4 linked regions of the Drosophila melanogaster genome follow. Changing the gene in region 2 together with the main gene of any one other region gives a genetic interaction. Each region holds a gene or a part of one and is shown on either strand. Other genes may lie near its edges. The genes, in order: Marf, GLaz, sicily and ND-42.

The links.
Region 1: of GLaz (region 2) and Marf, changing one suppresses a phenotype caused by changing the other (phenotypic suppression), as found in Drosophila melanogaster (one study listed by BioGRID).
Region 3: of GLaz (region 2) and sicily, changing one suppresses a phenotype caused by changing the other (phenotypic suppression), as found in Drosophila melanogaster (one study listed by BioGRID).
Region 4: of GLaz (region 2) and ND-42, changing one suppresses a phenotype caused by changing the other (phenotypic suppression), as found in Drosophila melanogaster (one study listed by BioGRID).

What each region holds. Positions count from the first base shown.
Region 1 is NC_004354.4:6,362,717-6,372,015, forward strand, and holds Marf (mitochondrial assembly regulatory factor), read left to right. Parts: upstream 1-3,232; 5' UTR 3,233-3,516; intron 3,517-3,916; 5' UTR 3,917-4,140; coding exon 4,141-4,447; intron 4,448-4,642; coding exon 4,643-4,932; intron 4,933-5,002; coding exon 5,003-5,341; intron 5,342-5,615; coding exon 5,616-5,627; intron 5,628-5,809; coding exon 5,810-6,736; intron 6,737-6,805; coding exon 6,806-6,976; intron 6,977-7,076; coding exon 7,077-7,273; intron 7,274-7,342; coding exon 7,343-7,544; 3' UTR 7,545-8,208; downstream 8,209-9,299. Other genes in the region: swa (swallow), read right to left, coding at 965-1,500, 1,589-2,428, 2,610-2,880; PpV (protein phosphatase V), read right to left, coding at 9,013-9,299. UniProt on the Drosophila melanogaster protein: Mitochondrial outer membrane GTPase that mediates mitochondrial clustering and fusion.
Region 2 is NT_033778.4:13,162,765-13,171,067, reverse strand, and holds GLaz (glial lazarillo), read left to right. Parts: upstream 1-3,035; 5' UTR 3,036-3,165; exon of another isoform or gene 3,166-3,279; intron 3,280-4,432; 5' UTR 4,433-4,506; coding exon 4,507-4,644; intron 4,645-6,236; coding exon 6,237-6,391; intron 6,392-6,449; coding exon 6,450-6,522; intron 6,523-6,578; coding exon 6,579-6,851; 3' UTR 6,852-7,109; downstream 7,110-8,303. Other genes in the region: Spt-I (serine palmitoyltransferase subunit I), read right to left, coding at 587-751, 813-1,178, 1,234-1,561, 1,618-2,117, 2,180-2,227; CG15870 (uncharacterized protein), read left to right, coding at 7,225-7,596.
Region 3 is NC_004354.4:11,887,685-11,894,245, forward strand, and holds sicily (severe impairment of CI with lengthened youth), read left to right. Parts: upstream 1-4,047; 5' UTR 4,048-4,353; coding exon 4,354-4,535; intron 4,536-4,604; coding exon 4,605-4,719; intron 4,720-5,045; coding exon 5,046-5,671; intron 5,672-5,905; coding exon 5,906-5,987; 3' UTR 5,988-6,061; downstream 6,062-6,561. Other genes in the region: CG1840 (uncharacterized protein), read left to right, coding at 812-830, 888-972, 1,032-1,284. UniProt on the Drosophila melanogaster protein: Involved in the assembly of mitochondrial NADH:ubiquinone oxidoreductase complex (Complex I) at early stages. Interacts with cytosolic Hsp90 to chaperone the Complex I subunit ND-42 in the cytoplasm.
Region 4 is NT_033777.3:22,024,751-22,030,721, reverse strand, and holds ND-42 (NADH dehydrogenase (ubiquinone) 42 kDa subunit), read right to left. Parts: upstream 3,014-5,971; 5' UTR 2,702-3,013; coding exon 1,574-2,701; intron 1,507-1,573; coding exon 1,411-1,506; 3' UTR 1,329-1,410; downstream 1-1,328. Other genes in the region: CG13409 (uncharacterized protein), read left to right, coding at 1-81, 139-416, 474-576, 643-1,016; Cchl (cytochrome c heme lyase), read left to right, coding at 3,685-4,274, 4,332-4,587; CG6028 (uncharacterized protein), read left to right, coding at 5,318-5,582, 5,669-5,796, 5,868-5,971. UniProt on the Drosophila melanogaster protein: Accessory subunit of the mitochondrial membrane respiratory chain NADH dehydrogenase (Complex I), that is believed not to be involved in catalysis. Complex I functions in the transfer of electrons from NADH to the respiratory chain.

The sequences.
Region 1 (9,299 bases), on a different chromosome or scaffold from region 2:
GGTCACGTGCTGGAAGCGGCGCTTCGTGTAGGCCGAGTGGATGTCCAGGTAGTTGACCGCCTTTCTAGACCGCCCGCTGCCCGATGGAGCCTCCACGCCACCTAGTTTATGATCATCACCTGGTTGAAGAAGAAAGGATACATGTTAGCACTGGCCAATTGGCTGTGCACATTGTCTGAAGTACCCATTTTACAGCGAGATATGGAAGTATCAAAATTATATATGTATGAATGGTAAGAAACAAATTTTGAAATGAAAGCGTATGAAGTTATAACAAAAGGTAACGTGCACAGAAAAAGTTCCCTGTATATGAAATATGTTTGATGGGAATATTTCTCCTAGTTTAGTTAAGCAAGTTAAGAGAGTGGGATGGGGAGGGGGAAAAGCTTCTTACCATCGACATCCCCATCATAGTCGTCCTCATCCTCCTGATCGCGACCCACGGGATCGCTTACGCATGTCTTGGCGCTCTTGTTGGCCACATCCGCATCAAAGTCCGGATCCGCGTAGCAGATCTCCAAAAATGCGAAATGGTGCGAAACATTGGTGACGAATGCTGAAGCTCTGCGTAATTGAAACTGCCAGTGTGGCCGAAGTCGCAAAGCAGCCACTGTCAATGTAACTGAATCTGCATGGGATTCACATGATTTCAATACATGATATATCAACCCGAACAAATCGGATATAAATGCAAGTGTGCAAAATTTTTTTATTAAAACAAGTACAAATTTGCTTGGATAGAAATAAATAATACGTTTCACTACACAATTCGCCAAAAAGATTATTTTCCTTTGGAGGAAAGTTACTAACGAATTTCAAATTTGGTTATACATGCACATATTGGTTAACTGAATGCTATGGCATTAAAAATTTGGACTAATTGAATCGACATAACGCGACATAAAATAACAGGATATGATAATACATACAATAAATAAATAAAAGTGGATGGTGGAAGGCTGGACTAGCGCTGGTTCCTTTGGTCAACGAACTCCTCCTCGGGCATCGCAGGCAAACCATCCTTGTATGTGACATTGCTGCGGTTCAATGGATCACCATTACGGCAGCGAACGCAGGGCCCCAGGAATCGTAGCATCCGACTGCCCAGTGTCGTCCTTTTACTCCTAAAGTGGTCATGCGCCTCCAAATGCGACATCGACATCGAGTGGACCAGCAGACGCGTCTGACTATCGTTGATGCTCTGATTATGAATGGTGTCATGGCTCTGATTGCGCCCCTGACTGATATTGAAGCCCATCACCTCGATGACTCGGTTGTTGCGCTTGTCAAAGTAGTACATGCCCTCATGCTGGCCCCATTGCCTGGGCGAGATGAGCTCCCCCTGTTGTTCCCACTGCCGCCTGGAGCTGGGTCGCTCCTCCTCGTGCGCCTCCACCTCGATGGCCGAGTCGTTGCTGCTCGGCTGGCTGGTTTCCGAGTTGTTGGGCGCCGGGGTTCTTCTGACCAAGGCCCTGGATGAGGTTTCCACACGATGTTCGCCTTGAATAGAAACCAACAAAAATCCATGTTAGTCAATCTTATTCGAAATAATCTACAGATCTAATAAAATAGCATTGCGATTGCTTACCACTACCGCTGCCATCAGCTTCGGTGCTAACGCTGCTAAAGTCCAAAGATTGTGGATGAATCGCGCGTTGGACCTGGACGGGATTCTGGGCCACTCGGGCAGAAGGCGCCACACTGAGCAGTGCCAACTCGATGGATCCTTTGCTGCTGTTGTAGGTCAGGTCGCCCAGGGGATGGGGTGTGACCAGGACGTTTCCGGAGGCGGGTATGGTGTCCACCAGGAAATCCGTTTGAGTGGCCTTGGCACTGGTCGCCGATCGAATGTGGTACATGAAGTGGTGCTGTGAGTTGTCCTGCTGGCGCCTAAGCTTCTGCTGGCATTCGCTTAGCTCGGTGCGCAGGGTCTCGAAATTGCACTTCATCTTCACAAAATCATCTGTCTTTCTGTCCAGTCGTTCCTGGACATACTCGTTGAAGCCCTGCAGACGCTTCGCTTCTACTCTCAATGAGTTGATCTTTTGCTGCAGGCTCTCGTTCTCGGCCAGCAATCGATCAAAGCTGCTGCTAGAGTTGTTTGAATTGGAATTGTAATTCGAATCGGAGTTGGAGTGAGTCTGGCAGTTTTTGTCCACCTTGAAGTCACCATCATGGACATACACCTGCTGCAATGTGGGCGTTAGACTCTCCGGCATAGAGTTCACTCGCTGGAATCCGGCGAACTTCACATTGCGTCTCTTTTGGTCCTGCGCCTGGATCTCCGCTATGTACTGGCCCACCTTGCTGGTCACGTGCTGGAAGCGGCGCTTCGTGTAGGCCGAATGGATGTCCTGGTAAGAGACCGCCTTGCTGGAGCGCCCGCTGCCCAATGGAGCCTTCTCGCAACCCAGTTTATGATCATCGCCTGGTTGAATAAGAAAGGATACATGTTAGCACTAGCTAATTGACTGTGCCCATTGAATGAAGTACCCATTATACATCGAGACATGGAAGTACCAAAATTATACATATATGAGATATGTTTGATGGGAATATTTCTCCCATTGTAGTTAAGCAAGTGTAGAGAGAGAGCGAACACTTCTTACCATCGACATCCTCATCATAGTCGTCCTCATCCTCCTGATCACGACCCACGGGATCGCTTACGCATGTCTTGGCGCTCTTGTTGGCCACATCCCCATCCGCATCAAAGTCTGGATCCGCGTAGCAGATCTCCAAAAATGGCGCTGTATCCCGCTCGAAGACTGCGGGCTTATGGTGCTCCGCGAACCAGGTATTCCTGGCGCCACTGCTACTCAAATTGTTCAGCTGGTCAAACAGCTCGTCCGTCGGAAAACTCTCGTCCTGTAGACTCATCGCTTTTTATGCGGAAATCCGAAAAGCGGGGGAAATAATACAATTAACACGAGACACAAAATTACACGCGGATTCCAATTGGAGCGGGAAAGGCGCCGTTACATTCTGGCTAACTGGAAACTGGCTAGTGTGACCATTTCCAATCAGTGAAAATCATTGTCAGGGTAAATTCTATTTTTAAATTAGACAAAATTTAAATTAGACAATAAAAATAAAAATAAGCTAGGTGGTAGTAATTGAAAAAAATTAATTTCAATTAAATATGGCAGCGAATTGAAAAAATACCATATTAAGCTTTCGACTGGCATAAAAATATACTAGACATGGGAAGGCATAAAAATGCACTAACGCCGGATGTCAGCGAACAACATGAGTTGGTCACCTTAACGTTACATCATGTGCATTTAAAAAAAATTAATAATATTAACTAAATTTCGTGAAATTGCTTCTCTGCAACTGGATTCTAGTCGGCAATGTACGGTTATTGGAAGTTCGAACCACGCTTTCCACAATTTGCCATTTGAAAACGCATCAGCTGAGGGGCAGCAATTAAAAGAATCGAACAACCGGAGAGGAAAATAAATACAAATATAAAATAAAACAAATACAAATATGAGCGAGAGTGGCATTAATCAGGTTAGTTGATAGAGCGAGAGGGCAGATTAAACTTTATCAACTCGATTTACGCACACAGATGTAAATTGTCAGAAAAAAGAAAAACCAAAAACATTAGATTATTATACTTTTTTCGCCTATATTTGTTTGCAGCGCAATTGGACCACGTGTGTGTGTGTGCGTGCAATTTGCGTTGCGGTATTTTCCTTTTCGCCAAATACAGTGCACTCTCGACATAGCGAACAACAAATCAATAGTTTATGTTCTCTCTAAGATATACTTAGCAAACACATGCTTGATTTTGTAGCGCACATTTTGTTTAACACTTAAACCACTCAAGTTGAGCTTATCTGGTGCGCACTGTATTCAATCGTTTTGTTTTTTCTTTCGTGTCATAATTTTTCATTTAATTTCGTTTCAGTTTTATGACGTTGATTTTTGAGCAAATACCCCCAAAAGCAATATAACACACAATAAACAGAGATAGTTAAGTTTTGAGTTTCGGGTTGGCGGCGAAGTTGCAGAAGTTGGAAGTCTGAACAACCAAATCCCCTGGGCTGCATACCTTTTGTTTTGTATCGCAATTCTCTTCTTCTACCAAAAAACCATCTGCTAAACCGAATCAACCATAAACCGGATCCCGAAATGGCGGCCTACTTGAACCGCACCATCTCGATGGTGACCGGGCAAACGGGCCCCGCCGACGACGACCGTCACGCCTCCTCCACGGACACGGTGGACAAATCCGGACCCGGTTCCCCGCTATCCCGGTTCAACTCATCGCTGCAACAATCCGGCTCCACAATGGCCGCCAATCTGCTACCGGAATCGCGGCTCTATCAATCCAACGACAAATCACCGCTCCAGATCTTTGTGCGCGCCAAAAAGAAGATCAACGATATCTACGGCGAGATCGAGGAGTATGTCCATGAGACGACCACCTTTATCAACGGTGAGTTATGTATTATATTTTTAAAATACCCAACAGAAGCCAATCCTTGAACCTCTATGTTGCATGGTATTCGATAAGAACGATTATGATTCAGTTCATCGTTTTACAAGGGAAATGGTGAAATTTTGATTCTTATCTAACATCTATTGCCTTTGGCGAAATACCCAGTTAAACCAATGTTCGTTGCTCTTTCAGCCCTGCACGCGGAAGCGGAGATCGTGGACAAGGCGGAACGGGAGCTGTTCGAAAGCTATGTGTACAAGGTGGCGGCCATTCGCGAAGTACTGCAGCGGGATCACATGAAGGTGGCCTTCTTTGGACGCACCTCCAACGGCAAGAGCTCGGTGATTAATGCCATGTTGCGCGAGAAGATCCTGCCCAGCGGCATTGGGCACACCACGAATTGCTTCTGCCAAGTGGAGGGCAGCAATGGCGGCGAGGCGTATCTTATGACAGAGGGCTCCGAGGAGAAGCTAAATGTGGTGGTAAGTGGGCTACTCAGCTCTCCTCTGGGAAATGTGTTTCGCCTAATGACCTAGTGACCCTTGTTTGCAGAACATCAAACAACTGGCGAATGCCTTGTGCCAGGAGAAGCTCTGCGAGAGCAGTTTGGTGCGCATCTTTTGGCCGAGGGAACGCTGCAGCCTGCTGCGCGACGATGTCGTCTTTGTGGACTCACCTGGTGTGGATGTGTCGGCCAATTTGGACGACTGGATCGATAACCATTGCCTGAACGCCGATGTCTTTGTGCTGGTCCTGAATGCCGAGTCAACGATGACGCGTGCGGAGAAGCAGTTCTTTCACACCGTCTCGCAGAAGCTAAGCAAGCCGAACATCTTCATCCTGAACAATCGCTGGGATGCGTCGGCCAACGAGCCCGAGTGCCAGGAATCGGTATGATCTTCTAGGCGGCCCCTTTAGTTAGTCCACAATCTCTGTCAGACCCTGCATTACCATTACATGGCAGGCGAACCATATGCCACATATGTGTACATATGTTCGTTTGCCAGCAGTTTTGCACTGCCACATCTCATAAGTAATTTCTTGGACCTCTTCGTATGCCTGTTGTCTCTCTATGTTGATGTGTGTCTTTTGTTTTTGTTTATTACCCAACCAACCAATCAATCTATCAAACAACCAACCAACTATCCACTGTAATCAACGCCAGGAATTGGCTAAGGTAATGAATGAGCTAGACCCGCTTGCTTGGTCCCACAAAAACCCAATCCACTCTGCTTTGGTCTCTTTATCGAATTGAACCGATGAACACCTCCTTGTTGACTCTTCCCAAAGCAGCTTACTTAGTTGCCCTGATTGATTGATCTATGCACTTTCTAAGACGCTTATTTCATCAATTGATAGGTTAAGTCTCAGCACACGGAACGCTGCATCGACTTCCTCACCAAGGAGCTAAAGGTGAGCAACGAGAAGGAGGCGGCCGAAAGGGTATTCTTCGTTTCCGCCAGGGAAACGCTGCAGGCGCGCATCGAGGAGGCCAAGGGCAATCCGCCGCACATGGGTGCCATTGCCGAGGGCTTTCAGATACGCTACTTCGAGTTCCAGGACTTCGAGCGCAAGTTCGAGGAGTGCATCTCGCAGAGTGCTGTGAAAACAAAGTTCCAGCAGCACAGTTCGCGCGGCAAGAGTGTTTCGGGTGACATGAAATCAATGTTGGACAACATTTACGAGCGGATCACCATATTCCGCAATCTGAAGCAGGACCAGAAGAACCTGCTCACCGAACGCATCCAGGGCACAGAGACGCAGATGATGCAGGTTACGCGGGAAATGAAGATGAAGATCCACAACATGGTCGAGGAGGTGGAGGAGAAGGTGTCAAAGGCGCTGAACGAGGAGATCTGGCGCCTGGGCGTACTCATTGACGAGTTCAATATGCCCTTCCATCCGGAGCGTTTGGTGCTGAACATCTACAAAAAGGAATTGAATGCCCATGTGGAGAGCGGCCTGGGCAGCAATCTGCGCGCCCGCCTATCCATGGCCCTGGCCATGAACGTCGAGTCCGCCCAGACGGAGATGACCGATCGCATGCACGCCCTGGTGCCCAACGAGCAGCTCCTGGCCACCAGCACCAAGATGGTGGTGCGCACGCAGCCCTTCGAGATGCTCTACTCACTGAATTGCCAGAACCTCTGCGCCGACTTCCAGGAGGATCTGGAGTTTAAGTTCAGCTGGGGCATTGCGGCGATGATCCAGCGCTTCACCGGCAAGGTGCGCGAGCGCAGCAAGAAGGGCCAGCCGGCGCTGGTCAATCGACAGAGCAGTATTGGAGTGAGTTTCTACAGTATAGTTGTGTTGCACCACCTTTACTATATCTCTGCCATCGAATCTCGTTCACAGCACAGCGTATCGACGCCGACCACGACGCCCGTGGAAGCCACTCCTGTGTGCCTGCTGCCCGCTCCCGTTGTGGCTGGCATTACGCCCGAGCAGCTGTCGTTGATCTCACGCTTCGCGGTGTCCTCCATTGGATCGCAGGGCACCGTTGGTGGTCTCGTCGTAGCCGGTGTCGTAAGTGTTAACGGTTAAATTATCATAACACCTCTTGTCCTTACCAACGACCAAGCAGGTGATAGTGCATAGCTATGTGATGAAATCAAACCACTTGCAGATGCTGAAAACTATCGGCTGGCGTGTCCTGGTGGGCGTGGGTGCCCTCTACGGCTGCATCTACCTGTACGAGCGCCTCTCGTGGACAAATTCAGCCAAGGAGCGAACGTTCAAGTCGCAGTACGTGCGCCATGCCACCAAGAAGCTCAAGATGATTGTCGACCTCACCTCGGCCAACTGCAGCCACCAAGTGCAGCAGTGAGTATTGATCCCTTAGCGTCTGAATCGCTGATCACTTATCGAATATTCTCTGTCACATCTCAACAGGGAATTGTCGAGCACCTTTGCCCGTTTGTGCCGCACGGTTGATACCGCCACCACGGACATGAATGATGAGCTCAAGACGCTGGACTCGCAGCTGAACATCCTGGAGGCGAACCAGAAGCAATTGAAGCTGCTTCGCAACAAGGCCAACTACATACAGAACGAGCTGGACATCTTCGAGCACAACTATATATCGCCGCAGTAGTGGAACAGTAGTGGGTTGGCTGACCGTGGGGCAAAACACTAACCAGAATGTGGATGATCATAGAAATCAGGCGAAGACAAACACCCAAACGACTACAACAACATTAATGCACCACGTATTTGCTGCTCAACTCTCAGTTTTTCTCTCCTCTTTTATTTTATTTTTTTTGTAAGAAAATGCATGATATGAGCCAATCGATTGGAACCTCTTTATTCTCTATCGTTTAAACAAATCGTTGTTGTTGTTGAGAATTCTTTTAATTCCTAACATGCACTACTCTGCTAGTGTGATTATTTAGTTTTCTTTTTTTTGTAATTGTTGACCCGGAAACGCACGCGTATATATATATACAAATAGAGAAGTATCCAAAACACTGTGAGCATGGCCAGGTGCCATGGAAAAGCAAGTTGCGAGGAATTATGAATGCCACATGATGATGACCGACCCCAGAATGCGAAAGTCACTCACTTATTTACCTCTTTTTCGCCCCTAATAGAAAGTCTAGTACTTATACATATTTGTTTTTGAGTTGGGACGCTAGAATAAATGTTGGGGCAAAGCAAACCAATATATATGAAAACACAATTGTTGAGATGTTGCAAAGCATGAGAATGAGAATGATTCATGAACGAAAACGAAACGAAATAAATGATATTTATGTAAGAAACTCATAATCGAAATTATTTCAGTGGAACTTTGAATATCGGAGCCGTGTCGCGAAAACGACAGAGACGGATGATGGACATTTTGGGAGCGGAATAAGGGACACCTGGTTTTTCCCACTGATTACCGGACAACGCATTTCGAATTGTCTTTTTTGTTTTAATCATATCGTTTTGATCGGGATCACACAATTGGGTTATTCTTAGTTATTCTTATTTCCTTCAAAGCATTACTAATACAAAATGTACAAAGTATATGATTTTTGTGTTTGTTCACAGAAATAAATATGTAGGTTTGGAATACAAAATAACAAAGTGAATCTCTATATACTTCTTGCTTCCATTAGCATCCGTTATCAGTAAATACAATACTTGGATATACAACTTAAAGAAATCAATTCACGTGTTCCCCTCTCTTTGGACTTGCCGGAAACTAATAACAAAGTTTTTTTTTAACTGTGCTCTTAAGAATTAGATATGTGTTTTTGCCATACAAAAAAAGAGACGAAAATTACAAGTTACAGGTGTGTGTGTGGTGTGTGTGGCTTGTGTTTGCTGTTCTGAGTGTTTGCTATGCTTGGGGTGCTCGTTGCGCACGTTTTGAGTTTAAGGCGTTGAGTTCATGGGTGGTCAAATGAAACGGATCAGTCAGTCGAAGGCTGCACTCCGCTCTGCTCTCCACAAGCGTATATGATTATTAGCCACGATGCCGGAACAGTGGGCGGATCGTATTGGATCGGTATGTGGTATGGTATGTGGTATAGTATTGCGTTGCATCACTTCACATCGCATCACATCAGAACGTTTTACAGGAAGTAGGGCGTTGTGTTCTGCTTGGGTATCACACGCTCCGCATCCGGAACAGCCAGGAAGATCTTCGTCTGCCGCTTCTCCGCCGTTTCGAAGCTAAGAATGGCGGCAACGTTGCCGCAGCGATAGCAATAGTTTGGCGCCGACCACACGGTCACCAGTTTGCCATCAAACATATACTTGATGCCCTCGTTGACCAGCTGATGTGCTCGGCATATGAGGTTCAGATTATTGATCGCCATAAAGTCCTTGGTCACATTGTGGCCAAACAGCCAGCCAGCGC
Region 2 (8,303 bases):
TGAAAGTCGAAGGGTTATGATTATTGCTCACAGATTAGGTCGCCACTCGGAAACAGCTCTGCTCCACTGGCAATCAAATCGTTTCAAAGCATTTCCATTCCATCTGGCTTATTCCACATATTAGTTATTATTAAGCGTGTGATGTGTATCTTAATTGTCATGCAAGAAAAACATAAATAAATAATGAATGTTTCTTTGTGGAAGTTGTTCTTGTAAATTTTACAACAAATGCCACATAATATTACCCTTATCTTTATCGGGATATTCAAAAACGTTTGCGATTGCGCAGGCGATAAGAAACACCAATAAAAGGGCACGTAACTACCAAATAAACTTAATAGTTTTATTTAACCAGCTCTGTTATCTATAACGTGTAATCTTTGAAAGTTTTCCTAGACTTAAAATTTTTCATTAAAATGCAATGCAACAAAGTGCAAAGAGCAAGTGCAAGGCTAGCTATTAACTTAAACAATTCATACTGGACTGGTCGTGAAGAAGTGATGAAAAAATGATGGGGCCAGCAGGCCTTAAAACTTAACAGCAAGGCCATTGTCGAAAGAAGATCATTCCTTTCCAACAACAAGGCTTATAGGACGGAGCTGGAAACACTCTCGATGACCTCAAACGCATTGTCTATTTCCGAACTCTCCAGCAAACGGTTGACAGCAATGCGAATGCTGGGACGGACTGGTTGGCGTTCCCTGTTCTGCAGGTAGGCAGCCTGTACCACAGCCACTCCACGAGCAATGCACTGGGAAAAGTGAGTAGAAATGTATAGTTTTCATAATTGCATGGGGAAATAAAATGCCTACCTTATCAGCCAGCTCTGTTAGAAGTTTCAGTTCCTTGTCAAAGTTCTCGGCGGGCTGGGCAAGATACAAGTGCTTCACTGGTGACACCTCATCGCCGCGCAGGGTTAGCTTGCTGAATCGCAAAAACTTCTGGTGCAACGTCTTAGACTTTGCCTGCAGCTGCTCGAAGATTTGTGGTTCTCGTTCGAAACGATCCAACGCTGAAATAGCCGCCTGGGTGAGCATGGGCGGCAGCGAGGCCGAGAAGATGTAGCCCAAGCCAGAGAGGCGCTGGTGCTCGGCTATGAAGTGCGAGCCAACACAGAAGCCACCGACTGTTGCCATCGAACCCTCCATGCCGGCCGATATCAGATCGACTTCATCACGCTAAAAGAAAAATACCAGTTATAATTTTAGTTTTTCTTTCCGGTTTACCACCTACATCGACATTAAAGTGCTCCGTAACTCCGTGACCACCCTGGCCCAATGTGCCAAAGGAGATGCTTTCGTCGATGAACAAACGCAGCTTGTACTTCTGACGCAAGGCCACCAGGTCGGGAAGTGGGCAAATCTCGCCCGTATTCATATAGATACCCTCGGCGACGAGGAAGCGACGTGTCTTAGCCGCCTTTTTCGGATTTTTCTGGTCTCGTTTTTCTTGCTCAATCAGCAGACGTTCTAGATCCTCAACGTCATTGTGCTTAAAGAAAACGATTGTGCTTCGTGAAGCATCCAGACCCTTCTGAATGGCAAAGTTGACAGCCTCATCCCTACAAATAACAAGTAATTAGTCGCCAATCTGAGTAGGTGAAGTAGACAATCCTACACAAAGATAAGGTCGCCACGTTTGGCATACGCCGGAATGGCACTGGCCACGGTCGAGAAGCCGTAGGAATAGACAATGGCCTCCTCCAGGCCCATGAACTTGGCAATACGATCCTCCAGGTCCAGATGCACGTCCATAGTGCCGTAGAAGCCCCGAGGTCCGCAAGATCCAACTCCGTACTTGCGCAGCGACTTGCAGGCCTCCTCCAGTATCTCCTGGTCCTCGAGGAAGCCAAGATAGTTGTGAGAGCCAAGATTTAGGCAGTCGTGTCCATCGACCTGGATGCGCTTGCCCACCCTGGACTGCACAACGCGGGTGTGCAGCAGGGGATGATTGGGATCGGTGTCGGCCACCAAGGGCTCTGGTTCATAGTCGGCGATTATTCGGTCTTCCTCCTCCTTGGTCAGCTGTCGGCGACGACCTCCTCCTCGTCTGTGGAGCAGCAACCAAATCACGGTTATGAGCAGTAGGGTCTCCAAGACGAGAGCAAACGTGGGGGTCTGTGGAAGGAGTAGAAACTGGAGTAAGCTAAATGTGGTGAAAAAGGCGAATGCAAACTTACGTTTCGGAAAATACTGCCGATTTCGTTGAACAATTGGATGGCCACCATTTTGACAGTCTGGTTCCGTGCCCTTTCTGTGAAAAATCAATTGAAACCGCCTTAATTCCCTGAAGTTATGTGTCATCTAGCCGACGCTTTCTTATCGCGGGTATGCCCCATACATATGTAGAATTGAAGCATTCGACCATACGGTACGGAAATCTTTTCAATTGGGTGTGTATGCTGACATAGGCTAATTGCCAGTGGGCGAAAAATGTGCAACCACGCCCTTCTCCAACATTCTCTTACATTAAATATCCATTTAAATCGAGCACTCACCACAAAACTCAGTTAACTATAGGCAAAATGCGTGAAATATCCGCCGAAACAGATGGATGAACGAATGTACTAAAAAATACCAATACGCGGATATCTTTAAGATGTGCGCCAAATTGGCGGCGATGGAGGAACAGTGGAATATGGAACTAGGGGACGTTTTTATTTATTTTTTGTTATTCAAAAACCTGGTCCTGTCGACCTGTCCCGCCCACCTGCCCCACCGACCTGTCCCGCCGATCTGACCCACCGACCTGTTCCGCTGACGTGTCCCACTGACCTGTCCCACCGAGCTGACTCGCTAACAACAAAATACAACAAGTTACAACAGATTTTAAATTTTTATTAAAAATTACCTAGATTTTATCAATATTTTTATGATACTGAACTCAAATAAACTTGCTACGTAACGGTTCTTTTCTAGTTATCATTTCAAATATATGATCGATTACTATTTTATATCGATAGGCAGAGCAGCGATCGCAGTGTGACCGTGCGGTGGGAAATAACGAAATCGAATTCAATTCAAACCGCCGATCCATTCAGTTTCCATTGAACTGCTGCTGCGATCGGTCAACCGATGTGAATGAGCCGCGTTACTGGCGCCATCTGAAATTCGAGTTCGCGAGATAAAAACCGCGAGAAGACAAAGAACACCGCAAAAAGCCGATGTAAACAAAGAGATATAGTTAGTTCTGCATTTTGCAAGAAAACTTTATCACATTACACGCGAATCGAAACGGATACTTGTATGTGCACAAAGTGAAATCAGCTGGACAACAAGAGTATTTTGCAATTGCCTTGGTTTATTTTCAGCCACTTGCGGCTGTCGTTTTCTGTGAAATTAACACTTTTTTCTATTGGCAGTGATGGGAAGTGTATATTTGGGTGTACCTGGCTGGTAGTCTAGATACAACAATTTACGCTATGTGTCGCGATCTAGTCTAGGTACAAGTATTCACTCTTCCTTGCAAATGTCCTTGTTTTAATATATAGTAAATTCTATTGCATTTCATATAATTATTTACTATTTACCTATATCACTATTCAATTAGACCCAAGGAAATACTTCTTTCAAAGTCACGATTGTATTTAAAATATACATAATCATTTTTATCAAGTTCCATTTCGTCTTAAATTACAATATTATTAAATAATTGCCAACTGATACTGATGAACTATACTATGTAGCTACCAATCAAAGTACCTTTCACATCACTATCTATCAATCAAATAGTTATAGTTAGCATTGCCCATGCGATAATGGCAAACCGAAATAGCGCAAAGAAAAGCCACTTCCTATTTCTCTTGAACTTGATGCGCTCGAATGAAGCTACCATGTCTACACCATGCCCACTTTCGCAGATAAATCGAGCAATGCACCCGACTAACTCCATGACACAATTGATGCATCCCAGCGCAGTATTTCCTCGATTAGGTATTTTCGCTTTTACCCGCTTTTTGCAATGCGCAATAAGTATCTCTTGGTGTGTGCGAAAATCGGTGGAGCAACCAGTTTTCGAGCTGCATTTTGACGTTGGCTTTTCTTTTACGTAACTCGCTGGCCGGGCACGAGCCAAAAACCAAAATAAATATCAATAATAAACACGGCGCCGCGCCAACCCAGTTAGTGGTTTTCACTTCACTTCACCTCACATCACATCACTTTACTTCTTCTTCTTTGCGGGACCTACCAATTCGGTCCGGCTTGCTCCACTAAGCCGGTAGCCAGCACGTTCCATTATCGCACACATCCCATCCGGAATACTAATGGACGGACATGGTGTACCTTTGAGGAAATGTATATGTAGTTGGTTCATGACGATCCATAGTTCGTTGGCCAAGTGAACCCGTCGTATCGGAAATCACCGCTTTGTGCACAGCCAAGTTAAAACGGTCGAGTTCAATGGAAATTGCCTGATTTCGAATTCCACACAGTTTAGTTAGGTGCTGGAGTGCCGATTCTGCCGCCTAAAGTGCCAAATATTCAAAGTGAACTATCAGAAGCAACCATGATGAGTGGCCAGCCACTTGGCTCGAGGGTTTGGCTGTTGTCCGGAGTGCTATTAGTGACATTTGCTGGGACAGATGCCTACGGATTTGGACGTTGCCCGAATTATCCATCGATGCCAAAGTTTAACATGAGTCGGGTAAGTTAGTTGCTGGTTTTCTCATACATACTCTACAAACTCTAACTAAAATTGCTACATATTTCGATCGCTATTTTATTAACAGCCTGTTTGGGTGTTGTAAATATTCATACAGACATTTGTTTGCAGTCTATATATACATATTTGCAATTGGCTTTATTAAACCACCTTTCAAACCTGTTACTAAAGATCTGTGTCTATTGACCCACTGAGTAACACCAGTTATAAGATTACAAAGAATTTATGAGTATGAAAATAACTATGAGTATGAATATATGAGAACTGTTTGTCCTTACAACAACGAGATGCATTGTATAACTGGCCACTCATCGCCTGTCTATTTGCCATCGTCTTAAACGTGTCACATCTTCGATTAATTGGCACAAGGCGTCTGGCGCAGACGAAGACCCCTCTTTACATCTTGGGGATTGTGCAGATGATGAACTTGAACCATTTTAAGGCCACCAAATCCGATCCGCCGTGTAAAATGCAAACCAGTTTTACAGAAGGAGGCGAGCGGCACAAAAGCTTTATGGCCTGCTGATGGTAAACAAGCCACTTATTTTATAAAGAAGTAAATCAACCAGTACCAATGCTGAGACATGGGCACGCCAAGGACAACAAAGTGCACTACAGTGGAACATTCCTGGTGCGAACATTTCGCTATTACAGCCAATATTTCAATCAAGTAATTATGGAATCATCTTGCCAAACCACCGATATGACATCACAAATGTGAAACTAATGTTTTTCGAAAGAGAAAATTAGAAAATTGGTTTCAGGTGGCTGTAAAAAGATTGTTTCAAAGTATTTCTGAGAATCCATAAATGGACTTTGTTTAGTACTCATAAATGCACGTAGTTGTTTTAAGCTATAAAAGCCGACGACTGTTCGCTTAGATACACTGTCGAGATCATGGATAGAAAATTGGAACAATCACTTAAGCAGCTCAAATTAAATTGATTGAGCCTTGATTTGCATAAAAGATAATGCACCATAATTGCCCGGTTGAGGTGGAGGCATTGTCACTCACATTATGTGGGTCTAGCGACCTCCTCTCCACTTCCACTTCCACTTCCAAATGGCACATCATCCAATTGAGTTGTTGACAGGCGTAAATTAAGCCATTTGCCACCGGCCCCGCCCCCTAAACGCACTTTTGACCCGGGGCAAAGACCTCGACTGGCCAGCAGTGGCTCTTTAATGCGATGCGGCGCCCACCGCCGACTTTGAACTGCAAGATGAGCAGCGGCCAAAAGAGCGGCTCTTCTCAATGACCAGCAGCCACAACCGAGTCTATAACCAGTTTCAAAAATGTTTACGTTTTACGCATTGTTTGCGCTAAGTGGCATTTTGATTAGTAACCCAGTTAAGTGTTTCTTGGCCGAGAGAAACGCTGCGTGACAAAGGTTTTGGCTTTCAGACTGATGGTTATCAGGTGATTCTACTTCCAATAAAACCCTTCAGATTTAATGAAGTAATTGGAATATGTAGAAGAATTTCCATTCACTGAAACAACTTACTTAAGAACTTAAGAACATGTTGAAAAGGAAGTAAAAATATCTATTTTATGTAATGTCATTATCTTGTAGGTCCTTGGACACTGGTACGAGGTAGAGCGCTCTTTTTACCTTCCGGAAATCGCCTCCGGATGCACCACCTTTCAGTTTGAGCCGTACAACAAGGGCGAACAATCGAAGTTTTCCAATTTCAAGCTGGCTGTGGCCATTAAAAACATTAATCGCATGTATGATTAAATAATCTAATAATATATATTGTGTGTTAGAAGTGTTTGTCCTTTTTAGAACTGGTAATCCGAATGTGAACATTGGCTATGCAACACCAGAAAACAGCCGATCCTCCATCATGGATTTTAAGGTATCTACAATAAATAATATTAACAACACACAATATACACAATTCCTTTTTCCTAGTTTACCACCCGATTTCCGGACGTGATTGCCCGACTACTGCCAGGTTCCGGAAAGTACCAGGTGCTATACACAGACTACGAGAACTTCGCCATCTTGTGGTCCTGCGGCAGCATTGGCTCACTGGGTCACTCCGATCAGATCTGGATTCTTGGACGTGATCGGGACTTCGAGGTGGATATCCGATCCAAAGTGTACGACGTGTTGAAGCGGCTCTCTCTGGATCCGGAAAGGCTCATCATCAGCAAAAACAAACAATGCCCCGAGGCGCTGTAGGAAGCTCCTCCAGCGTCTCATCCCCCATCTATATGTTTAAGTTCATTCGGTTAAGGAACAAATTACATTTGATGCCTAATCAATTAGGCTGCTGTGATATCGAGGAGTGTGAATCGGCGGAGAGAGGCGAAGCAACGCAAATACAGAAACAAAAAACAAGAGTAACTCGATCGAGGTTTTCAATATATGAACTCATGCCCGCATTGCCAATTAACGCGGGTGTCCTAATTAATTTGCAATAAATAGAATTTCCCAGTCATCGGAACTTAGTCGTGATTTACCAACGGATTGAAAAGGTTCTGGCCGGATAAGATGTCCCGACTGTGGATTTTGTTTTGTCTGATTTTCCTTGTGGCCCAGGCACATATGTCCGATGCGAGAGGAGGTGGAGGCGGAGGAGGACACGGAGGAGGCGGTCATGCTGGAGGTTTCGGAGGTGGCGGCCGCGGAGGCGGATTCGGAGGAGGAAGAGGTGGTTTTGGAAGAGGCGGCTTTGGAGGACGTGGTCCAGGATTCGGTCGTGGCGGTTTCGGTGGACCAGGCCGCGGAGGCTTTAGAGGAGGCGGCTTTCGAGGCTATGGAGGATATGGCGGATATGGCGGATATGCCCGATATGGCGGCTACGCTGGATACGCGGGAGTTCTTCCGGTTCCTCTTCCCGTACCCTATCCCGCAACCTATAATCGCTGCTACTACGATAATTACTATTATAATTACTACTACTGCTGATATGATACGGTTATAGATGGTTTATTTATACAAATTACAATCAACACGTTGCTTTAGTTACAAAGATTATGTAAAGTTACCCAGAAATTCGGGCTGTAGACAGTTCTCTAAATATTCCATATCTCATTTAACTTATTGTTTTGATGGTCTCCGGTGTCTGGTTCCTGTTTGTCCACCCAGTGATCAGCGATCAGTGATCAGCGATCTTTGTGGAGTGCGACTGCGATGGCAGTGCTTAAGCCTAGTCAAAAATATTCCCATTAAAATGCAATCTACATATGCGCATATATATATAAACTTAATCTACAGACTAGATATGGATACGAGACGTTGATGATGCGTTCGTTGTGGCAGACTATTCGATCGAGATCGAGAGATCAGAGGGTATAAGTGTATCAAAATAGTTTCTGTATCGATTAAAGAAAGTTATGTGAGGAAGCATCGAATGAAAGACTTGGTAACGGAGCTATCTCTTAAAGATATGGAGTTGTCATTTATACTAACTTAATCACAAACCAGATGCCCCTCTGATCTCACCTTGTGCAAAATTGAATTCAATATGCATAAGAGCTGGGGAGACTCAAAAAAGATAGTCAAGGAATGCCACCTTTATGCAATTCAGAACTATTTTATATGACCTAAACCAAAAGCGGCAATGCTGAGATACACAACTAAAGATCCAAAAGCTTATTATCAAGTGTTAAGATGATGGCATTCCCTTCT
Region 3 (6,561 bases), on a different chromosome or scaffold from region 2:
TCGCGGAAATGGATGGGGTGGCGGTGGAGGATGGGGCGGCGGCGGCGGAGGTGGTGGCGGCGGTGGAGGAGGAAGACCTGGATCAGGATCAGGTGGACTAAGACCAAACCGCCGGATCGGCCGCATTCAGCCGACTATGAGCTGCAATATGCCCGCTGGAGGCGGATGAGGATAGTAGCGACATCCGGTTCCCAAGACTCTTGGGAGGATGTCGCGCCGACAGAAGGCTGGTCGTGTATAGCAGCACCCTGAATGACCCAGATATCACGGTTTATCCCGCCCATGTGGCGCTTATGACGCAGTTGTCTTAAACTCGAACTCGAGCGGGCAATTGCTGATTACGATTAACCACTGATTCCTGGGTCGCTGCTTCGTGGCCGTCGTCGGTTCCATTTATCAACTATTAGCTCCAATACATAGCTACAGGTTTTTTTCTATCGGTCTGCGGGTTTATATTCGTTAATTTACAATTGCAAATTCGAAGTCACAGTACCCAAATAGGAATACATAGTTATTCTGGTGAAATACATAAATAAATACCAACCATAACTTTTGCAAAAGCTCTGTTTTAATGAGTTCATAAAAAATGTTTTTTAAATTCAAAAATGTATTTATTTCAACATATGAGACTATCGACATCAGCGTAGGCTATGCGATATTTGTTGTATCATCAGCTGCTTTGCTTGTCCATCTCTAAACACCACGTCAATTTTTTTTTTTATACACAAACAAATCAAAATATTCAGCTTCGGCCCAGATCTGGAAATATTTGAAAGAAACAAAAGATATTGCATGCTAATTTAGCTTTAAAATGGCGTACGTCGATCAAAGTAAGTGCAAGTGAATGAGCATATGATCTCCAGAATGCTAAGCCCTTCGTTTTGCAGATGGTCGTCTGTGGGAGAAACGTCCATGGGACTTGAGACGAGTTTTGGACACATTCGTGGGTATATGGTTCGCCGTCAAACAGTTGTGAGTGCTAAATGGGTGTTAAGAGCTTAGGATTCCTTAACCCATATCCCTCCTTTCAGGCTTGCATCGTTCCTGTCTCCATTCACTGGAAATGATAGCAACGGAGATAACTCCCGTCGAGGAAATGGATGGGGAAGTAGTAGCTGGGGCGGAGGGGGCGGTGGTGGTGGCGGCGGAGGCGGTGGCGGCGGAGGCGGTGGCGGAGGCGGAGGCGGTAGCGGTTATCGCGGAGGTGGATTAAGGCCTAATCGACGAATTGGGCGCATTCCGCCCCCCTCCCAATCCTGCAATGCCGGAGGATGCTGCGGCTGAGCTGCTTAACCAAAATGCTCCAATAAATAATCCAACTCACCTCTGTGATGCGGCAATTAAAATAGATAGGTTTTTGTTTACCGTTTATATTAAAGCTATGTTTTAGTCATAATGATTTTGATTAATTGAGAAAATTCAAAATATGCAATCATACATACAATGCAATACAATACATACATACAATCATACAAACAATAAACTTTTTAATATCCGAACTTACAATGAATCGTACTTTCAGATGCTTTTGACTTATTTTTGCAACAATTTCTCTATTTCTATTTTCAATAATTAACCACCCCTTTCACTTTTCAATTGATTTTGTAAAATTAATTTTTGGCCAAAATTTTCGCATTTTTTGTAAGGGGTACCATCATCAAAATTTGCAAAAAAATGAAAAATCCTAGAATTCCCAAACTTGAATGCAAATCGATTGGAATTTAAAAAACAAACTCAACGATGTATGACATTCCATATTTGAGTCATTATTTTCAATGTTTTGATCAAAATACCGAATATTTTTTTCACAAAAAATCTGGAAACTACTTTTGGCAAAAAACTCAATTTTCAAGTTGGCTTTTTTGGCTATAACTTGTCTAAAAATGGTCACAGAGCAAAAAGAATTACCATTTTATACTCCTTATGACCAATACTAACAACCCCTATCACTTTAAAACGGATTTTGTAAAATTAATTTTTGGCCAAATTTTCACATTTTTTGTAAGGGGTAACATCATCAAAATTTGCAAAAAAATGAAAAATCCTAGAATTCCCAAACTTGAATGCAAATCGATTGGGATTTAAAAAACAAACTCAACGAGGTATGACATTCCATATTTGAGTCATTATTTTCAATGTTTTGATCAAAATACCGAATATTTTTTTCACAAAAAATCTGGGAACTACTTTTGGCAAAAAACTCAATTTTCAAGTTGGCTCTTTTGGCTATAACTTGTCTAAAAATGGTCACAGAGCAAAAATAATTACCATTTTATACTCCTTATGACCAATACTAACAACCCCTATCACTTTAAAACGGATTTTGTAAAATTAATTTTTGGACAAATTTTCGCATTTTTTGTAAGGGGTACCATCATCAAAATTTGCAAAAAAATGAAAAATTCTAGAATTCCCAAACTTGAATGCAAATCGATTGGGATTTAAAAAACAAACTCAACGAGGTATGACTTTCCATATTTGAGTCATTATTTTCAATGTTTTGATCAAAATACCGAATATTTTTTTCACAAAAAATCTGGAAACTACTTTTGGCAAAAAACTCAATTTTCAAGTTGGCTTTTTTGGCTATAACTTGTCTAAAAATGGTCACAGAGCAAAAAGAATTACCATTTTATACTCCTTATGACCAATACTAACAACCCCTATCACTTTAAAACGGATTTTGTAAAATTAATTTTTGGCCAAATTTTCACATTTTTTGTAAGGGGTAACATCATCAAAATTTGCAAAAAAATGAAAAATCCTAGAATTCCCAAACTTGAATGCAAATCGATTGGGATTTAAAAAACAAACTCAACGAGGTATGACATTCCATATTTGAGTCATTATTTTCAATGTTTTGATCAAAATACCGAATATTTTTTTCACAAAAAATCTGGGAACTACTTTTGGCAAAAAACTCAATTTTCAAGTTGGCTCTTTTGGCTATAACTTGTCTAAAAATGGTCACAGAGCAAAAATAATTACCATTTTATACTCCTTATGACCAATACTAACAACCCCTATCACTTTAAAACGGATTTTGTAAAATTAATTTTTGGACAAATTTTCGCATTTTTTGTAAGGGGTACCATCATCAAAATTTGCAAAAAAATGAAAAATTCTAGAATTCCCAAACTTGAATGCAAATCGATTGGGATTTAAAAAACAAACTCAACGAGGTATGACATTCCATATTTGAGTCATTATTTTCAATGTTTTGATCAAAATACCGAATATTTTTTTCACAAAAAATCTGGAAACTACTTTTGGCAAAAAACTCAATTTTCAAGTTGGCTTTTTTGGCTATAACTTGTCTAAAAATGGTCACAGAGCAAAAAGAATTACCATTTTATACTCCTTATGACCAATACTAACAACCCCTATCACTTTAAAACGGATTTTGTAAAATTAATTTTTGGCCAAATTTTCACATTTTTTGTAAGGGGTACCATCATCAAAATTTGCAAAAAAATGAAAAATCCTAGAATTCCCAAACTTGAATGCAAATCGATTGGGATTTAAAAAACAAACTCAACGAGGTATGACATTCCATATTTGAGTCATTATTTTTAATGTTTTGATCAAAATACCGATTATTTTCTTCACAGAAAACTGGGAAACTATTTTTGGCAAAAAACTCAATGTTTAAGTTCGCTTTTGTGGCTATAACTTGACTAAAAATGGACTCACAGCAAAAAGAATTACCATTTTATACTCCTTATGATCAACACTAACCATCCCTTTAACTTTTTAATTGATTTTGTAAAATTAATTTTTGGACAAATTTTCGCATTTTTTGTAAGGGGTACGTACCATCATCAAAATTTGCAAAAAAATGAAAAATTCTAGAATTCCCAAACTTGAATGCAAATCGATTGGGATTTAAAAAACAAACTCAACGAGGTATGACATTCCATATTTGAGTCATTATTTTCAATGTTTTGATCAAAATACCGAATATTTTTTTCACAAAAAATCTGGAAACTACTTTTGGCAAAAAACTCAATTTTCAAGTTGGCTTTTTTGGCTATAACTTGTCTAAAAATGGCCTCACAGCAAAAAGAAAAGAAGTCAAGAAGATTACGCATGGCAAAAAAGCAATATTTACGGAAGATAATGTATTTATATACCTAAGCTAAGCTTTATATGGTAAACTACCTAAGCTAAGCTATAATAATGCATTATAAATTTACCAACAAGTCACATACAGCATTTTGAATCTTCCGCCAAATGAAATTTCCGCGTAATCGCGAATACCCCATATGTAGTAACTTTCTGACAGACCGAGTGCGATCTGGCAGCACCGCTCAGAACATATGTTCAGTTGTCTGGTGGAAAGAAGAAGCACAGATGCGGCGCCTGGTGCGAAATTGGAATTGCCGATTGTTATTTAACGCCAAATCCGGCCAAGAAATTGTCAGCCATGCCGGAATTCACCAGGAGGCCAAGACCAATGCGATTCCCAGGGAAAAGAAAGTGATTGAGGCGGACAAGAATGGATACGGGGCCAAACATTGCATGAGTCTAGTGGAGTAAGTAGCGCAAACTTGTCGATTGAAGTTATCCGTATAATTGAACATGGATCTATTCCGGATAACCAGGAAATACGACTACGAGAACTACCTGTGCACCTTGCTCCTACCACGGGAACTGCGACGTGCTGCCTTCGCCCTACGGGCATTCAATGTGGAGGTCTCCAGATCGGTTAGCGGCCATGTGAGTGGAGCATCGAAATTCCTTGGGGCTTATTTTTTAAGTTAGAATAACGTGGCGCCTTAAATTCAGACTCCGTTCAGACTCTGTTACTCCGCATCAATATTATTGTAAGCATAAGTGGCTTATGTCCGCATCTCATGAATATTATTACCATTTCGAACGGTTTCACAAATCTCTTAATTTCTTATGTACACTGCAAGAGTATAATTTCTCTCCTTCCTTTAAAACGGATAGAGAAATTCGTAGAATAAGCAACACTTCGTAGTTTTTAAACTTCTTATTTCTGTCCAGTAAAATCGTTTATATAATGACAAATATCCTTGCAGCAAATTGAGCCGCAAATAGCCAAAATGCGCCTTAAGTTCTGGCACGACTCCATAGACAAGTGCTTTGAGCCGGATTCCCAAAGATCGTACGTGGAGGACCAGCCTGTCCTGCGCGAACTGAAGCACACGGTGGGCAGTCGCAAGCTAAATAAGGTATATTTGCGCCGTCTGGTCACAGCACGGGAACGTCCGCCCACGCATGCATTTGAGTCGATACGCGAGCTGGAGGAGTACACGGAACAGACCTTCTCTTCGCTATTGCTCCTGCTGTTGGAGGTGGGCGGAGTGCGTGACCTAAATGCTGATCATGCCGCCTCCCACTTGGGCAAGGCCCAAGGCATCGCCACCCTGCTGCGATCGATACCGCTGGCAGGACGTCAGCAGGCGCCCTGCATTCCGCTCGAGGTGCTGGTGCTGCATGGCGTCAGCCAGGAGCGCATCATTCGCTCTAAGAGCGACGACAAGGGTGTCGAGGACTGTATATTCGATGTGGCCAGTGCCGCCAATACGCACCTAAAGCTCGCCAGGCAGCTGCACGATAAGGTGCCGCCGCAGGTGCGCAAGATCTTCCTCTCCGCCGTGGCCACGGATGCATATTTGGAGCGCCTCCGCCGTGCCAACTTCCTGTGAGTTCCTTTGTTTTATATTGCTTTGTTTTATATTACGACAAACACAGGAGAGAACCAGCTTCTTTTTGTAGTTAAGATGTTATTTTTATCCAGTTATAAGTACGATTTGCCTTTATTGAGACTTCTTTATTTCAAAACCTAGCTATAGTTTGTTGGTTGTTCAGTATTCATGGAGCGGACCCTTCTTTTTATCAATCCCCATAATAATATAATAATTTTCCCATCTTATAGGCTAACCCACAAGAGCTGCGTAGGCCGCGACACCTTACTGCCAGCACGTTTATTCTGGAAGTCGCTGCTTAATCGGTTCTGATAGCGATTATGTTAGTATGTAGTACGAAATAAATTCTTCATTGTTGACTTCTTTAATAAAAATCACTTTAAAATAAGAGCTCTTACTTTTTCTCGAATCAATAGAAGAGGATTTCCAATGTTTATAAGAATACGAATATGAATCGGATCGGGGATCTTTTGGATGAAATGGGTTAAGAACGGTTGCAGGAATATCGCTATCTCGCTTCGAATCGGGACGTAATTACTATCGATGACAGGTGCACCAAAGGTTCGTCCCGACGAAGGTATCGGTGGATACGATGCAAGACCCGATTGGTACAGTAGTTGCTAGCTGATTTCAGAGCGTTTCAGGCGCAGTTTTAGTTTTTTATGAATGTTAGAATTGATGTGGAAAGTGTGTGTTGGATATTAATGAGAACGGAGCAGTGCGACGATCGCTCAACAAGATAAGCACCGTTTGTTTTTGGGCCCGTTTCCGGCTTCCGGTTGCTAGTTCCGGAAAAATTGCAACGCCTACTTTACGCGTACTTTTGGCATGGTGAGTTTTTGGCGCGCTTTCTTCGCACTCCTGGATTGAACTTTGTAAACCCAGA
Region 4 (5,971 bases), on a different chromosome or scaffold from region 2:
TGCGCAAGTATCCAATCTATGATTGGTCCATTGAGCAGCGATGGTTGTCGGTACTCCTGCCCCTGCTCCTTTTGTACGACAGTAGGTGTTTCACCCGGATTAGTTAGCGCGTATAGACTAATGATCTTCTACGCACAGATCCCTTCTTCCCGCTGATATTCCTGATGAACTCCTGGCTGCCTGGAATGCTGGACGCCATTCTGCAAGCGACGTTCCTTTGTGCTCTACTCATGTTTTGGCTGTGCATCTACCATGGACTGCGACAGAACGAGCGCAGCTTCGTGCGATTTTACCTGGTCAAGGTGATCGTCGTCCTGCCCATTTGGCTGTGCGCCATCGTTTTGGCCACGTGGGAGAAATGCAACGAGCTGAGGGATCCCACATACAGTCACTTTGTGGATACGAAAAACTACAATGTGGGTATACATAATACGTACTAATGAAATGTGATACGAAAACCAAACCATTCTTAGGGCTTCAAGATGTTCTTCTACATCGCCTGCTGCATGTATGTGCTCTATCTGGTGCTGTTGCTACTGCGGGCGTACACCGAGCTGCGCTCCATGCCGTACTTTGGTGAGACATAATGCAGTGTGCTCCAAGCCTGATCTTATTATTATAATGCTTAATCCATTTGGCCAGATATGCGCTTGAAGTTTCTCACGCTGCTCATGCTGTTCGTCCTGTCCATATCCATCACGGTGACGACGTGTCGCTTTGGCTTCGGCATCCTGGAGGATAACTTTGTCGCCTCACTTAACACCACCTATCGCAGTTCGGCGCAGTTTATGTGCTTCTACGGACTGCTTAACTTTTACCTGTACACCATGGCGTATGTGTACTCGCCAGATGGACGGTTCGCCCAGGCGGAGCTGGCTGTCACCAAGGATAATCCGGCTATTTCCATGATCGACGATTCCGACGAGGATGTTGTCTACGGTTCCGACGAGGAGTCACGGCGACCGCTCACCTCTGTGGGCGGCGGTGCTGGAAAGAACGATTACGACAGCGATTGATCGGCGATTAAGAAGTATCCGCGGCAGAACGAATACCCAAATGTTCCATAGCGCAATTGAAGTTTTAGTGCTAAATGTGTACAAAGTATTCCCTAATATAATGCATAAATTAACTTAAAATTTCAAAAAATTAATCTCTGGTTGATCAATGAAACTGGAGAGGATCGAAATATGTTTGGGTATTCATGATTAAGCTGAATTCGAAATTTATGTTAAAAAAAAAGTATAAATAAACCCAATAGTTCGAGTTTTGTTGTATGAAAAGTATTTACAATCGATATTTACCATATTCGCTTTTTAACTAATTGGGTTCTGATTATTTTACTAGACTGTTTATTAGATAATTAACACATTTCGCCAGGTGATTTCAACTCGAAAGCATAGCAAAAACCCTCTAGATGCCCTGGTTGATGCCTATTTTCGTCTTGGTGAGGAGACCCTCGTCGCCCATGTCTGCATTGTAGCCAGGACGGTACTTCATGCCGGGAGCCTGTGTGCAAAGGGGCAGAATTAATGTGAAAAGAAATCGAACAGGGAAATGGAAACACCGAACTTACATTGAACCAGACATCACGCCAGACTTTGCCGTCGTCAGCGCTGCGCACCAGCTCCGGGACATCGAAACGCGGCACATTGAAGTAATTCATCAGATCGGGCTTCTCATGGCAGTACTTGATACGGGCTTCGCACCACTCGGCCTCCAGCGGGAAACGCCAGTCGAGCATCTTCTTGTTGTGAATATCGGCCTCAAACTGGTTGAAGTCGATGCGTTCGATATCCTCCACCACAACCTCAGTCTCACCGCCGGCTGTCCAGTCGTAGATGAGCAGCTCGGCATGGGTGGAGATGTCCTTGAGGTACTGCTGCTTGTACAGCTGCTCCAAATCGCTCAAGTAGGCATCGCTGAACACCTTTGACTGCACCTCGTAGTCCACATTGCGTGCCTTGATCTGCTTCTTCACGGCATCGACCGGCAGATCCAAGTAGATAACCAAATGCGGCTTCAGCAGCTCCCCGATGGTGTTCTGTCGGAGCTCATTATACACGGAACGCGCACCGCGTGACAGATAACCCTGCCGAAACATGGCCTCCATGAAGACAAAGTCCGAGTAGGGGCTGCGCTCGAGGACAACACCCTGGCCGGTGCTAAGGACGTGCTGCAGGGCATCAATGTACTGCGAATAGCGCAGCATGTACATGCGAATCTGGAACTGGGCAGCCAGATCGTGGCTGGGATCCAGGCAGAAGTTGCGCACATCGTAGCTTCGGCAGCTGGGCGGCAACTGAGGATCCAACTTCCTCATGTCATAGCCGTACGAATTGATGTAGATTAGGTCCAGATCAACTGCCGGATAGTACTCCATGTCCAGCTCCTCAGCCAGTTCCTTGGCGAACTTTGACTTGCCGGCCGCGATGGGTCCCTCCACACAGATCACCTTGGAGTTCTCGTCAAAACGCTTGGAGGTCTTGTCGAAAATAGCATTGAACACGCTGTACTTCTTCGTCTTGTACGGATAGGGGGCGGCCTTGGGCACCCGTGGTCCACCTCGCATCGTCTTGCCGGAGATGCTGCATCGCTGCTGGAAGGCAGCAGGCAGGGCATTCGTCTGCGCCTGGAGTAGATTGGGCGACTGTGTGGCGCGGCTGACGAGCCGCACCAGTCCTACGCGGAACACGGCGGTCATTCTGAAGGGAAAACAAGGGTCAGTACAAAAACGAAACAAGATAATAACAATTATATCTCGTCCAGTGGCAATTTGTCGTGTGGTTACATCACAGGAGCTACGCAGGTAGTGCGGTAATCTCTGCCCTAGAACTGCAGATATGCGGATCTTTTCGTTGCATTCTGCTGGCCAGCATTGCGGCGCTCCATAGATTTACCCAAATTGTCGGTTTTAATGCTCTATCCGGTGGTATTTACTCACTTTTCAATCTAAATATCGGAAGTCTACCCAAAAACAAATTTCGGGCTATGGTTGGTGTTGGAAAACTCCCCGAATAGGGCTGTCAAGGTATCCGTTCAAATATCAAAAATGTAAAATCAAAATGTTTGTCTATGCTTTAACTGCGACTTTTCTCAGAATCAGAAAGAATTTCATATGAAATGAAATTTAACCCAGTATTTTAAAAACTTTATATAACACTTACAAAATAACATTTTAATGTATAAATGTATTTGTTTTACTTTTTAAAAATATCGCAAAGCGACTGCTCAACACTACACAGCACAGCTGGGGTGTTTAACTACAAGTTAATTTACTTGAAATAAATTCAACAATGCTTTTCATTTGTAGACAGACACACACCATAAACTCACATTGCCGTGCGGTGCGAGTTGATTTTTTAAATTTTTAACTTAACATATTGTCACGGTGCAGAAACAACTGGTCCACTTTCCGTTGGTCTGGCAGCCCTGACCACAACCTCGCTGCATTTTGGGCTCAAAAGTTCTAACGATGAACTAACGAAAATATAAATCAAAATTTAAGGCGAAAGGCTCCAGGAGAAGATCGACAAATATCGAGAGTTGTGACCATTAGGATCGAGTAAGTCCTGGCGTTGGGGCCCAGCACTGGGAGTGTAACCCACTCCTTACAGTTACGCAACTGAGAACTAATGCGATTTTCCTCGTGACACAGATTTTGTTATTAACCAATCCCCAGCAGAAATGGGCAATACAGCCATCACCCGAGTGCAAATGGAGGCCACGAAGAGTGTGCCGGTGGACCACGCCAAGTACATGAGCGGCAGTGGTGCCCCGCCACCAGAATGCCCCATGCATCAGAAGCATGGAGATGCAAAATCGGCCTCCGCCGTACCCCCACATCCCAAGATGCAGGCCGCTTCCGAATGTCCGGTGCAGCACGACAACAGCGACGTTAATCCGCTGAATATGATGCCACCGGCAAACCAACAGCCGGCGGCAGATCAGCCCTTTCCACTGCCCACCGACCGCCAGACGTCGACCATTCCCAAAGTCACCGAGGATGGCAGCGTTCAATTCTGGCAGTATCCCAGCCAACAGATGTTCTGGAACGCCATGCTACGCAAGGGCTGGCGCTGGAAGACCGAGGACGTATCGCAAAAGGACATGGGCGACATCATACGCATCCACAATGCCAACAACGAGCAGGCCTGGCAGGAGGTACTTAAGTGGGAGGCGCTTCACGCCAAGGAATGCGGCAATCCGCGCCTCAAGAGTTTCGGTGGCAAGGCCAAGGACTTCAGTCCGCGCGCTCGATTCCGCAGCTGGCTGGGGTGAGTATACTCCAGACGGAAGATCTCACCTGAATTAATGTTCGAATTGTCTTACAGATACGAGCTGCCATTCGATAGGCATGACTGGATAGTCGATCGCTGCGGCAAGGATGTGCGCTACGTCATCGACTACTACGACGGTGGACTGGTGGACAAAGACTACCGCTTTGCCCTGCTGGATGTGCGCCCAGCCATGGACTCCGTGGACAACGTTTGGGACAGAATGCGCGTAGCTTACATGCGCTGGAAGTACGAGCTGTTTGAGAAGTTTGGCAGCGCGGATGGCGGCAAAGTGACCGCTGGTAGCGACTAGATGGAATGCATATTTAGATGATCGCTATAGGTACAAAATCGGCTTAAGTTATCGAATGGATGGAAGAGGGAGTTTGGTTAAATGCGTTTAAGACGCTGCGAAGCGAAACGATGTTGAGCCCTCTCTTTAAATAAATGTTGAATCTTGACTTCTGAACACCAAAATTCGAATGTGGTTTTGCTTTTTATTTTATTCTTTACTTAAATCCTTTTAAGGATTTCGAATTATCCAGTAACGAGTTGATAGCATTGTGGAGGAATATATTAATTAAAGTTTTTTTTTATTGATATACTTATGTATATGCAGAATTCTCATCTGTTCAAAATGCCTGTAAAAATTTTTTTTCTTAATCTTTAGTTTTATATTTTATTTATATGCTCTTTAAAATGATTGCGAAATTATAAAAATACGTTTACTACTTTTTTATCATTACTACAAATTTAAAAAATGTATAGTAAATAGAATATAACTTTAGACGTTTCTTAACTTTTTTAACATACATTTTCTGATAAAAAGTTGATATGCAACCCATAACATTATATGTATGTTTATATGTATGATGCTTTTCTAACACCTGCGGCTTCAGGGGGTTAATGTCTGGCAGTGTTGAAAAGCGCGTGTAAATTCTTTAACTGATTGCTGGTGCCCTCATTACGTGAGATTCGAGTTTGGCCACTGGAGCGTTAATTGGATAGCCGCGATAGATTCGTTCGACGTAAATCAGTCATAAATGCAAGCTGCCAGAATGAGGTTCGTTCAATACCTGCGAAAAGGTGACTTGGCCAAGCGACTTGGTCTACTGTCCGAGGATCAAAAGTCGCTGGTGGAATTTGCCGGCTTGGAGGGTGTGCCCAGCGATCTAAAGATCCTGATTGCCCAGGATCCCAATCTGGAGGAACTGGCGAAGAAGGCCGAAAAGCAGCCGCGACTCGAGGTGAATGATGATGTCACTTTGCTGCCGCCTCTTACCGATCCCGGCAAGATCATCTGCATTGGTAAAGAATGAATTAACATACATATGTATAAACATATGTAGTTGGACCCTGACCTTCAAAATGACGTATTCTCGATCTGCTTGCAGGTCTGAACTACCAGGACCACTGCGATGAGCAGAACAAGCCGACCCCCAAGGAACCATTGTTCTTTAGCAAGTTTAACAATGCCCTGGTGGGTCCTCAAGATAATGTCATCGCTCATGCGGCCAGCAGCGTAAGTGAAGCAAGAGATAACAAGAGATAGGCTCATCGAGATAACCAACCGACCAAAAAAAAATTCCACAGAAAATCGATTGGGAGGTTGAGCTGGTCTGTGTCATTGGCAAGGTCGCCCGCCAGGTGCCCAAATCGCAGGCCATGGACTATGTCTTCGGGTATTCGGTGGCCCA